3 linked regions of the Bombyx mori genome follow. The protein of the gene in region 1 binds, or shares a complex with, the protein of each later gene. Links are inferred from orthologs where the notes say so. Each region holds a gene or a part of one and is shown on either strand. Other genes may lie near its edges.

What was found. Proteins that work in one complex are often made in the same cells at the same time.
Region 2: frataxin homolog, mitochondrial (region 1) and cysteine desulfurase, mitochondrial share a complex: the UniProt entries of both Drosophila melanogaster proteins name them as parts of the mitochondrial core iron-sulfur cluster (ISC) assembly complex. The link is inferred for Bombyx mori from reciprocal best matches to the Drosophila melanogaster genes fh and Nfs1.
Region 3: frataxin homolog, mitochondrial (region 1) and LYR motif-containing protein 4 share a complex: the UniProt entries of both Drosophila melanogaster proteins name them as parts of the mitochondrial core iron-sulfur cluster (ISC) assembly complex. The link is inferred for Bombyx mori from reciprocal best matches to the Drosophila melanogaster genes fh and bcn92.

What each region holds. Positions count from the first base shown.
Region 1 is NC_085115.1:238,637-242,301, reverse strand, and holds frataxin homolog, mitochondrial, read right to left. Parts: upstream 2,423-3,665; 5' UTR 2,323-2,422; coding exon 2,041-2,322; intron 982-2,040; coding exon 733-981; 3' UTR 590-732; downstream 1-589. Other genes in the region: uncharacterized protein LOC134199323, read right to left, coding at 491-565. UniProt on the Drosophila melanogaster protein: Promotes the biosynthesis of heme as well as the assembly and repair of iron-sulfur clusters by delivering Fe(2+) to proteins involved in these pathways.
Region 2 is NC_085110.1:10,989,699-10,993,916, forward strand, and holds the start of cysteine desulfurase, mitochondrial, read right to left. Parts: upstream 2,832-4,218; 5' UTR 2,637-2,831; coding exon 2,516-2,636; intron 2,195-2,515; coding exon 2,118-2,194; intron 2,040-2,117; coding exon 1,785-2,039; intron 1,245-1,784; coding exon 1,079-1,244; intron 1-1,078. UniProt on the Drosophila melanogaster protein: Catalyzes the removal of elemental sulfur from cysteine to produce alanine. It supplies the inorganic sulfur for iron-sulfur (Fe-S) clusters.
Region 3 is NC_085108.1:8,217,061-8,221,229, reverse strand, and holds LYR motif-containing protein 4, read left to right. Parts: upstream 1-1,338; 5' UTR 1,339-1,573; coding exon 1,574-1,662; intron 1,663-2,700; coding exon 2,701-2,821; intron 2,822-3,747; coding exon 3,748-3,804; 3' UTR 3,805-3,885; downstream 3,886-4,169. Other genes in the region: uncharacterized protein LOC101737726, read right to left, coding at 280-365. UniProt on the Drosophila melanogaster protein: Stabilizing factor of the core iron-sulfur cluster (ISC) assembly complex that regulates the stability and cysteine desulfurase activity of Nfs1 and participates in the [2Fe-2S] clusters assembly on the scaffolding protein IscU.

The DNA.
Region 1 (3,665 bases):
TTATCCTACTTGCTATTGCAAAACATGGTTTCTCAGTTTTTAAGCAAATTTTTTAGTATCATGCTTTTATTAATTTAACGAAATTTTATCCTAATATGTATAACTATATATGTATATGTTAACAAATAATTAACTTCTTAAACAAAGACATATTTACTTCCCTTATTTAATTATACAGAAATTATTTTAAGATACCATAATTAAATTCTGATTTTTTTGGAAATTTAATACTTATTTATAAGCAGACAGCTGCAGCTTGACTAACATTAACCTAAATAAATTTTGAACCAATTTTGAAATCAGATAAAAAGCTAAGCCTGTTGATGTAGTCATTATTTTAGTATTTTATATGTGTATAAATAAGACATTTACCCATTTGAGTAGTATTTAGTACATAAAATTGAGTTAGCTTTTTATTATGAAATTTTGATTACGTTATTATTAATGTTATGTTATTATTAATTTGAATAAAAACTTTGGATAAACCAACCTGATAATACTCCAAATCTCTTTGCAACAAAATTGGGATCCTATCAATAATATTTCCATCCTCAATAACTTCCATTATCAAATAAAATAAAAAAATCAATAATAAAAAAAACAACTGTATATTTAAAATAAAATAAAAACTGAAATCAAACCAAATCTAAGGAGATTGCCTCAGTTAATGTTTGAAACTAAAGCAAAGCTTATGCTAAAGTATACACACTATGTTCTTATTTCTTATGAACTTCAAACTAAGCTGTGTGAGCACTTTGATAAATCAACTTTATCTTTAACTATCACTGATATTTCTTGTTGCAGGAGTTTGTGGAGTGTGACTCCATCGTGTTTGTAGATCCAGTAGCCTCCTCCCTCGAGAACTAAGTCATAGCGCTTTGGTCCAGACGTGGGGGAGCTCAACCAAATCTGTTTATTTGGTATCTGCCGGTTTATCACATATGTCCCGTGCTTTCCTAATGATATGGTTAATACACCATCCTGAAACATGGATTATTTTATTTCTAAGAAAGAATTAAGAGGCAGAAATGTTTAGGGCTTTTATATTATCATTACTCATTATCATTATCAGTCTGGGTTTGCCCAGACTGTACTGTACTGTTTTAAAGACAAATCTTTAAAACTGTCACATTGAACATAGCAAGCATATCTTACAACAAGATATGTTGTTGGAATGTAATTTTGCCTCTTTTTGCTTTTTGCTCTAGAGTAGTAGACAAGTTGACAGTCAATCCAGTTATTAAATGTTAATTAAATCCCACAAAATACATTCCTTGAGATGTAGACCCACTGCATTCATCCACAATGCGTTTCCTGAGATCTTTTTTGCCAGGTACCATCCGGCTTTCGAATGAGCTTTACTCCACGGTGTTTCCCAAGCCCTACAACATATCCTTATTCAAACGAGGCTTGTGGAGGGTAGATAATGGTAGGCAGCAGCTTGGCTCTACTTCTGGCATTGCTGACTTCCATAAGCGATGGTAACCACTCACCATCAGGTGGGCCACATGCCTATCTGCATACAAAAAAAAAGTCTATGTCTCAAATGCTATCAGAATTGTTACTGTTCTACTCTTATAACCAGATAAGATGACCATAAAAAATATAGACAGACTTTATCCGTTTTTAATATTTAATATTAATTAAACTGTTTTAACAGTATAGAACAGTATTTATTTAGTTTATTTTACTTTACTCTTTATGTTTCAAATACTTTAATCTTTGTGCGCACAGAAAATTACATGTAATAAGAAAATAAGGTTACTCTTTTAAATTATTGACTGTTAATATGGTGTAGTAACATTACGCTTTGAAAAGAATATTTTAAGTTACAACTGGAATTTAGGAAGAGCATACTTTAAATATTAAATTTTATGTTAACTTAAGCATTTGTTTCATTCAATTCCACCTTTTATTATTGGATTCAGTTTCTCTCACAACTAAAGTTTTTGCAAAAGGTTTTATAATGTCCACTTTAAAGAAATTATTAAGTAAGAAGTGGTTAAGTATGTAGTTACCCACATTGAAAATTTAACTTACGCTGTATGTTACGTCAGCTCCTTTCAAATTCGGTGCATCTTCGATTAACTGCTCAAAAAAATCACACAGCGACTCTAAGGTCTCGTTGCAAGCCTCTTCAAATACTAGAGGTTCCTCTTCATTGCGGATATTATCAGATAATCTTCGGTTATTAAAACCACAACTAACATTCAGTCTGAAGTCTTTTAGTATACTACTGCTTTTTCGTATCGCGATGGGGGCGAGACTATTGATTTGCAGCCGCACCAGCCACCGGCCGGTACGTATTATATTCCTAATCATTACGTTAAATTCTACTCCGTAATATTATTTTGATATGCATTCTTCAGGAGGTTAAAGTTTGTTGACTTAATATTGTCAATGTGACGTCTCGTTTGTCATTGTCAGCCTTGACTTTTTGTATCATTCGCAAAGGGAAACTTCTAATAGTATACTCGATTTAACGATTTAAAATCGTTGCCTTTTAATAATTATCTTGATCGATAATATGATTTTGCATTTCAAAAAAGACGACAAAATATTGCAATGGTTGAAATTTCAGGCAAATCTTTGTTCTGCTCTTAATACACATTAAGACATATATTATATATTTAGGGTATTTCGAACAATCAAAAGTCACTAATATGCGTGAAAATTATTCCATAATTCTTGTAAAGTCAATAACCTATAAAATAAACAAAATTAAACGTCATGTATCTTTTAATTTATTGCCTTTGCATGCTTAGATGAACATGCTGATACAGCACCTAATTTATTTGATTCTAAAGAGGGTGTATCAAGAGTATATAATAATATATATATCAACAATATGTATGTGTGATTAAAATTATAAATATTCTTTATTCTTTATGATTAGGTGGTTGAACGAGCTCACTGCCTACCTTGTGATAAATAGCTTATGAGTCCAATATGAACTCGACTTTTCGGACAGGGTGCCAAACCTCATACGAGGTGTCTGCCCCTAGGGGATGCGTGGGGCATATGGGATTTCACGGTCTGCAGATTTTAGGAGTAGACCATGAGATCAAGGATGTTTATGGGGCCCTATCCACCAAACGACCTCCCTGGAACTCTCTCACCCGACGTCCGATCTATATAGGGGTTCAAAACTCGGACAGAGTAGAAGGGGTAGAGATGATAGTCGACGACACTATGTCAGCCGTTCCGGTGCGGCAGTCATTCAGGCCGCATCAGGCGTTGCTGCTGGTGTCCCGAAATATCTCGCTGGACCAGAATGTTACAGCATGCACTACCGTCAGCTTTGGCGAATGACACCGCCGGACGACACTTCTGCAATAAATATTTAAATAAAAAATATATTTATATTTTGTGAATTTTGAGTTGTTAGATAATCGAATTACGCAACCGAAATATAACTTCTTGTTTTGGAAAAAAACTTTATCGCTAAGATGAGTGGACGAGCTCACGGCCCACCTCGTGTTAAGTGTTTACCGGGGCTCATAGACACTTACAACGTAAATGCCGTGACCTACCTCGAGATATGAGACTGACTTCGTTTTTACAGGGCAACGGCTGCCCCACCCTTCAAACCGAAACGCAGTTTGCTGCACGGCAGAAACAGGCAGGGTGGTGGTACCCGTGTTTACTCACAACTACTCACGCTA
Region 2 (4,218 bases), on another chromosome or scaffold:
ACAACGTAAATGCGCCACCCACCTTGAGATATGTTCTCAGGTCTCAAGTATAGTAAGGAGCTAAGTTTATTTCTATAATTTTGTGTTACCTTACCAAATATCATCTTTCAATAGAAGTTACAAAAAATGTAAACAAGCTTAAACATTGAAACAGCCAATCTAATGATGTAATGAACTAGAAAACCATTTAAGACAGAATTTTCCACTCATTTGTTGGAGACAATATTTTAGAGAAATTACTTAATTAACATAGTAAGTAAAGTAAAATTTAAATCACAGCTATGCTCCTGTTTCCCTCAAAAATTTATAAGATCGGAATGCAAATATAATACTTAATTAAATTTAATAATATAAATCTGAAAACACCCAATAATAAAGTGACATGTAACTATCTGGCAGCACAACACATGTAATGTAATTAGGTATGTACTTATAAATAAATGATTGTAATAATTACATATATTACAAGTCTTGGAATTTTGTATTTGATAGCGTAAGTACCTACCCAAGGGCTAGGGGTCGTCTGAAATCAATGGATTCAGACTCATCTCAAATGTATGGATTGTAAAACTGTGACTGAGCCTCTAGGAGGCCTGTAATACTGAATATTAAAAAAATATAATCCCACATAAGTAGTTGATATTACCCTGCCAATTTCTGGTACAGAGCCGTTATGCATTAAGTTTGAAGCTTGAGACCACCATACAATTGAAGTGAGACAGCAATATCATGTCTCGAGGGGAGTAATTGATGTTACTTTGAATGAAATATTAAACTTTTATGATAATGCAAATTGTCAAACAATTTTATTTTATTGCAAGGTCAGATAAAGTTTATAATTTATTTACATTACTGTTAAATTATAAAATATTACAAGTTAATGATGATAAGACAATGTCAACAAATTTTTGGATCTTGAGGTTAAATTAGTTTATTAATGTTCCTTGCTATCATATCACACAATATATTTAAAGTTGAAAGGTTATTAATATATAACAAATTAACAAAAAAATATAAACATTACAGAGATTACAAATCACAATAGCACATAATGAAAAAAGTTTACATGTTTACAAACCTATTTCATTATTGACAGTCATTATAGATACCAAACTGGTTTCTGGCGTGATGGCATCTTCCAAATCCTTTAAATTTATAATTCCATTCTGTTGGACTGGTAAATATGTAATTCTGAAACCTTCACCTTCTAAAGCACGACATGAGTCTAAAACACATTTGTGTTCCTGAAGAATAAAAACTCCATTATTACCAAAATATAATTTTTGAAAAAAAAAAAGCAACAATGTAATCTTGTGACTATAGTGTAAGTGTAAACTTGTGTTAATAGACAGACTAAATGAAAATTACAACGACTGAAATAAATAATAAATAACGACGCTTGAAAGGCAAATGTGACTAAGCGACAATAACTGCTTTGTATGAGGCCTATGTCTATAATAATATGAATGATAGGCAATAACCATATTCGATGTGCAAAAAATATATATTTCTAGGTCTATTAAATTCATTTCAATCCTACAGCTAGATTCATTAAAATATAATTTTTTTCGGGTATTTCAACTTTAAATTAGTCTACTGTAAAGTTCACGCATTGTCGCTTAGTCACGTTTGCCTTTCAAGTGTCGATAAGTTCATTCTAATGGCTATGAATCAATCTTTTACTTAGCTATTATAATTTATGCAGTGAGTTAAAAATATAATGTTTATTATAGAAATTTCTACTACTAAAGGACTTTTTTGAATAAAAATAATTAAAAACTTACAATTTGAGTAGTAATGACATGCTTTTTTCTTGGTGCATAAAATCGACCCACACCTTTAACAGATATGTTATTTGATTCTGTTGCTCCTGAAGTAAATATAATTTCTTTTGGTTCAGCATTTATTAAATTTGCCACTTGTTCTCTGGCTTTTTCAACAGCAGCTTCACTTTCCCATCCATACGCATGAGTTCTTGAATGTGGATTGCCATGATAACTTACTAAGTATGGTAGCATTACATCAAGAACTCTAGGATCCTGAAGTTAATTGCACTTAAATCTCCATTCATAAGTGATATGAATAAATGTAAAATTTTCGTATCATGTTCTACTTACCATTGGTGTAGTGGCTTGAGCATCGAAATACAAAGGCCGGCCAACTTCCTCATGTTTTAATGAAAATTTGTCATTTGCTGAAACATGTACTGATTTTAACTTTTTATAATAAATTTGCAACAAAATTAAATTTTGCAGTAAATGTTTATTGAATAACAAATGTATTTGATGTGGGAAGTTGACACGTAATGTATAATATTCCATGTTTACTCAAAAAATTGTGGCAATTGTGATGTAAATGATTAGCACATTTTGTTGATAGGGTAAAAATCAATAATATAGCGTAACTTTGTATAATATTATGACATTGAATATACACTATTAACTTAAACCTTAGAACATAGAAATTAGATACAAAAATAAGTAGGTATAATACTAATTAAATCATGGTAGTTTACCAGAATCGGAAAAAAAATTGCTTTGCTCAAATATAACAACGCCGTTTCCATTTAATTGGGTTTTCTGTTTTATTGCGGATTTACAAACCACCGAAATCACGTTTTTTGTCAAACGGAACATTTTGAATGAAATAAATTAAACAATTTTGCAAGTTTAAAAACAAGCAATTCTTAACCAGAGTCTTGACTAAAATAATTTCGAATTCATATCATTCATTCATATGATTCAATCGTGTGATTGACATTTGTTTTTTTTTTTAATTTATTTACGGCCAACGGTTACAAGACCTTATAGACTATTGACACTTGTTGTCAGGGCAGTGTGACCAGATTTCATTTGATGAATCTACTGCTTGTGGAGGTTAAAATCTACTGAATTCTACCAAAAGAGAAAGAGAAATACTAAAAATCTATTATACTTTTTTTACTGTCGTGTTACAATGTAAATTGTGAAATATTGTTATGTGTATATAACAATTAATTATTTTAATTTAACAATAAAATATAATTTAACAATAAACAATAAAATAATAAAAAGAAACCACAATTAATTAAAGAGACAATGTTCTTGTTTAAATTAAATTCTAATTAAAAATATAATTTTCGTCTTTAGGTTGGGTAACATTTGCATAAAGTTGTTTTGAGTGGACTTTTGGCGGGAACGTGAGGAGTGAAGTTGTGTGATTTGTTTTATTTTGTCTAGTTAGTGTTTCTTCAGATTTAAACGTGTAATAGCGGTGGTTTATTAACTGTTTAGTATCTGTGAAAGTGCACAAATTTGGGAAAATAAAACAAAGCCACTGAACGTAACTTCTCGGGATCTTCCAAAAAGTCCACTGAAAAAGTCTCAGTAAATGACCACCATTTTACTGAGATTATACTTCATCCCATATCATCTCATCTCATGTCATTTCATTTCGTTTTCATTTCACTTTATGCCATGTTTCATCATAATCAACTTCATTTCATTTTATAATATCATTTTCATTTATAAAAGTTACGTATCATTAAAATTAAAATAAGACTTGACCTAAAGGTCTTAGTTACCAGGTCATAAAATACCTTAAAAAAAAAAAGTTGTTTTGAGTCCATTGATATCTTGTACTTCTGTCAGGATCAAATGTGTGACATCAACTGTCATAGCCCCTCTTTTTCATGCATTAGGTATTGCAGCAACATTCTTATTATTAAATCGATTTCGATCTTGATTTTTAATCCTATATTAATAGGATATTAATCAGAAATTATTCTTTCTACTTTGGCTGACAGATTTGGCTGACTTCACTCCAAAATTTATCCACCATAAAAGTTTCAGACGTCGAACTAGAAGTTGACAATAAATTAGACACGGAAACATCTAACTTTAATTCCCTATTTTCTTTGTCAACAATTTGCAGGTTTTGTGCTGCGACTACAAGGTATCGTGATGAATGGGACGTCGCGATATCCTTATGTATATTTATGTTTCATTTTAAGCTCGATTATAAAAATTCTCAATGAAGGAATTCCCACTAGTCTATCACACTATGCTCACGGCACGAACGGTAACGAAAAGAATGAAAATTAAATAGTTACAATCCATTCGATGAAAGGGGGAATTTATCCGTTATGCCAAAAAGTACTAGATTAAATGAAAAGCGTGAATTCTACTAAAATATACAAAATAATTTTTACATACTAAATTGTGTTGCCAGTACCTCAAA
Region 3 (4,169 bases), on another chromosome or scaffold:
ACTATTACGTGGATGGTAAGAGAATCGGTCTACAAGGGCAGTAAATAACTTTTTAATTTTAATTTTAAAATAAGCACAAGTAAAAAGTAGTTAATAACTGAAGTTTTTAAGAATACATTATTAACTTTGATAATTCCATCTCATGTCTTTCTCAGTTGTTTAGGGTTTACAGACTCCTTAAAATGTCAACGAATGTTAATTTTAATAAATAATAGTTTAATGCAACTTCTATATAAAAGAACCAGTAAGATTTAATACATTTCAATTAATTTTAATTACCTGTAAGACAATACAGGACTCTCATCGCTGTGCACGTGATATCTTTCCTCATCATGCCAATTCTTGTGCGATGGTGAATATTCCATGAACTGAAATCAATAATTTAGTAGCCAGGATGGCAGATGGCTCATGGTTGCCTGTTTTAATCAGCAACCACAGGGGCCACACAAGAAATCAGAATATAAAGAGCACAAGATTCCTTGAGATATGAGGATTGAATTACAAATACATTAATATTAAACTACTTCTTATATAATTACTTTACTTTTTTACTATGGATAATATTTAATTTAATTTCCATTGCAACTTAATTAATGATATTCAATTTTCATCATTAATTTGTTTTTTATTATTATAGTATCTGTTTAGAATTTTAGATTTTAACCTGATAATTATTTCAATGACCAAGCGAAATAGTCTCTTTATTTCTTTTTAGTTTTGAAAATTGTTTTTAAAAATTAAAGTTAATATTAGGCATTTCATGGTATGTAATATTTGTGTTACATGGTATGTAAATTGTATTCCTTTGCTAACTTTCATAACTTGACATAACACATATTAAGTGATTTACATACAAAACATGTTTAGTAATCATCTTCCGCTAAGTTACACAACAAAATGTGCAGGCAAGTGAATTTTTAAAAATGGTCTAGAAATCCTAACTTCTTTGACAAAAATATGACAATTTTCTTCGCTAGTCTTGTAAACAAAGTACTTTTGTTGTTTGTTTCCTTTGGATAATTTGGTTAAAATAATTTAAATTTCATCAAACTTTTAACTCACTGTTTAATTTAGTAAGTACCTATATATGTCTTAGAATGACGGCTGACGAGCATAACAATATTTGAATTTGTAATTATCAGATCGCAAATGTTATTAAAACATCGGGAATGTCAAATCAGATGTTACTGACGTTAGACCAAATTGACAATGTACACTTTTCGGTATCCTGTAGTGTAGCTAGACAAAGGCTACTTAAATTTACATCCTTACTAGTGTAAATTGTGACTAATAATCAAAGTCGAATTGAAACTTCTACCCAGACGCGAAACTTACGAATTTACCTTCTTTTACATTTATTATCACAATTCAAAAGTTTTGCACGATAAATTTATTTTATAACAAATAAAGGTTTAACACCGTGTAATACGGAACGTCTAATTTTTGTTTACATAAAAAAACTGGAGTGTAATGTCATAACTGGTCATAACAATTCGTAAGACAAATATCATTGGGTATTACCTTTTATCAATATATTATAGTTTTTAATAAGCTTGTCGAATAATAAAGCGAAATGTCTGGCGCGATACCTAAAATACAAATATTATCTCTCTATAAATTGCTTCTCAGAGAATCCCAGAAGTTCCCTAACTATAATTTCAGGTAATGTTTTGCACCATTATATAACCTAAAACAAATGAAAGATTTACTCCAACGTTACTAGTGAACACAAAAGCATAATTTTGTTACCTTCTTAAATTACAAACAAAGTCAATACATTTTTAATTTTGTCATGATATGTGGCTACCAAATTCTATTAGGCTTAAGTAAATGTATTTACTGGTGGTAGGACGTCTTCAGAGTCCGCACGGGTAGGTACCACCACTCCGCCTATTTCTGCCATGAATCAGTAATGCGTTTCGGTTTGAAGGGGCTGGGGCAGCCATTGTAACTATACTGAGACCTTAGACTTTATATCTCAAGGTGGGTGGCGGCCTTTACATTGTTGATGTCTATGTGCTCCGGTAACCACTTAACACCAGGTGGGCTGTGAGCTCGTCCACCCTTGCTATAAAAAAAAAGCGAAAAAAATGAATTTCAACGCAATCAAAAATTATCAAGCTTGTTTGGAATCAATTATTTGGATAATAATTGAAATGAGTCAGGTAAATGGAATGATGAATGTGATATTAATGCACTTCATTAATATTAATTACTCATTATGATAAGTAATCAACGAGTTTAAATTAGCACTGTGAGGGGCATATAGCTCATAGAAAAAATGGTCACTATTGCAACTCTACACCAAAATCTGTAGTACAAGTAATCCTTCCAGAAGGTAGACCCACAGTATGTTGAAGTTGTGAGAATCTGTCAGATTTGAACAGCTTAGGATCAGTCACTGTGGTGAAGCTTGAGGATGGCCTATGTCCAGTAAAATTATGTAGACTGATGATGATGCTATAAATGATTATCATTTTCATGCATTTAAATTGTTATTTTAGTTTTTTAGGCGGACAAGACACATTTTAAGCAAACTTAATTAGATAATTAAATAAAAAAATCAGCCTCAATTAATAACTACAGCATCAGAGTTACAGTAATTAAAATGAACGAGATTTTCAAAGCCTCAATAAATTATGAATTAATTAATCAACAATTTATCAAAAAATGCTAAATTTTAACCATTCATCCTTTCAGAGCATACGCACTAAGAAGAATTCGAGATGCTTTTAAAGATAATAAAAATGTGTCTGATGTTAAGATTGTGAAGAAAGAGTTTGAATTTGGAAAAGAAAATTTAAATGTTATCAGGAGACAGGTGTGTGAATATGTTTCATTTATGTTATCAAACACATGTGATAATTAGCTTATATTTTATTTAGAAAAGTATTATATTTATATCTTGGTTTCCTTTATATCACATCAGTTAAGTGGTAACGGTAGTCTATAAACATTACAATGGGAAATCTGCCACCTTTTGCTTTTTACAATTTGTCCTTAGTCTTATTGCAGTGCATTTTGCAGTGTTGGTCTTCAGGAGCAGGAAAGGAGAACCAATTTTCTAAAATTTCTATTAATGAAAATAAAGTATACTTCATCCCTACTGTGATGGGTTTGAAATGTTGATTTGATCAAAATATTAAACAACTGATCTTTTTCTCATTCAAATAAGAAAATGTGGTTGCCGAGCTGAGCTGAGAGAGCTGGGAGAGATTATGGTACCAATCTATTCAGGCTCACTCTGGTAGTTTTCCAATTACAGCACAAGAGCTCATTATGCGGCATAATGCTCAACGTTGAATGTTCCAACTGCAGCAACTCGAAGCACAATTGAGCACTCTCAAAAGTACTGCTCTCGCGTGATACTCGCAATCGATACCGACTCAGTGACAGAAAATTGACAAGTGTTTTTTCTTTAAGTTGGCATTGATCGAAATTTTGTTTATATTATCGTTAGTAATATTATTTAATGTTGAAAAAAATTGTAAGGCTTTCGTTTCGTCGTAGTTTCTTAGAAATAATCAATGTTAATTAAGACTGTGCTAACTTAGCGCACTCTGCTGATGCATTTCAAAACTAATTCACGTTCCAATTAAGCTTCAGCATAATTTGGCATTGTGCGTCACTGAGTCGCATTATGCTCTGTAATTGGAAAACTACCACTACACCCCACCTCTGATCTAACTGCACTAAAAGGTTAAACTATTGTGATTAATTCATATATGAAATCATCTTGTTTTACAGGCAGCCATTGGAAATATGTATAAAACAGAAAAACTTGTTATCGAAAATCTGCGGTAGCTTCATGTTTATAATTGTATATTATTATGAAACATCTGTAATGTATAATGTACATTTGACTAATAAATAGTATAATGCAGAGTTTTTTATTCAAATTAAATCTGTAGGGGTCTCAGAACTTTCATTTAAATAATTATAATTGGTTTTGTTACTAAAAGTACAATTAAATGTATATGTGGTATGCATATACACAGGTATGCATCATAAAATAATTTAACCTAATCGAATGGGAGAAGGTGTGATAATTAAAGATGATAATCTAACTTTTTTGGAAATACTGGAAATAGGCTGTGTGCTGATGTTGACTTGCAGTTATTATAAATTAGACTCTTTCCGAGGTCCGTATATAAGGTACTAAAGAGTTT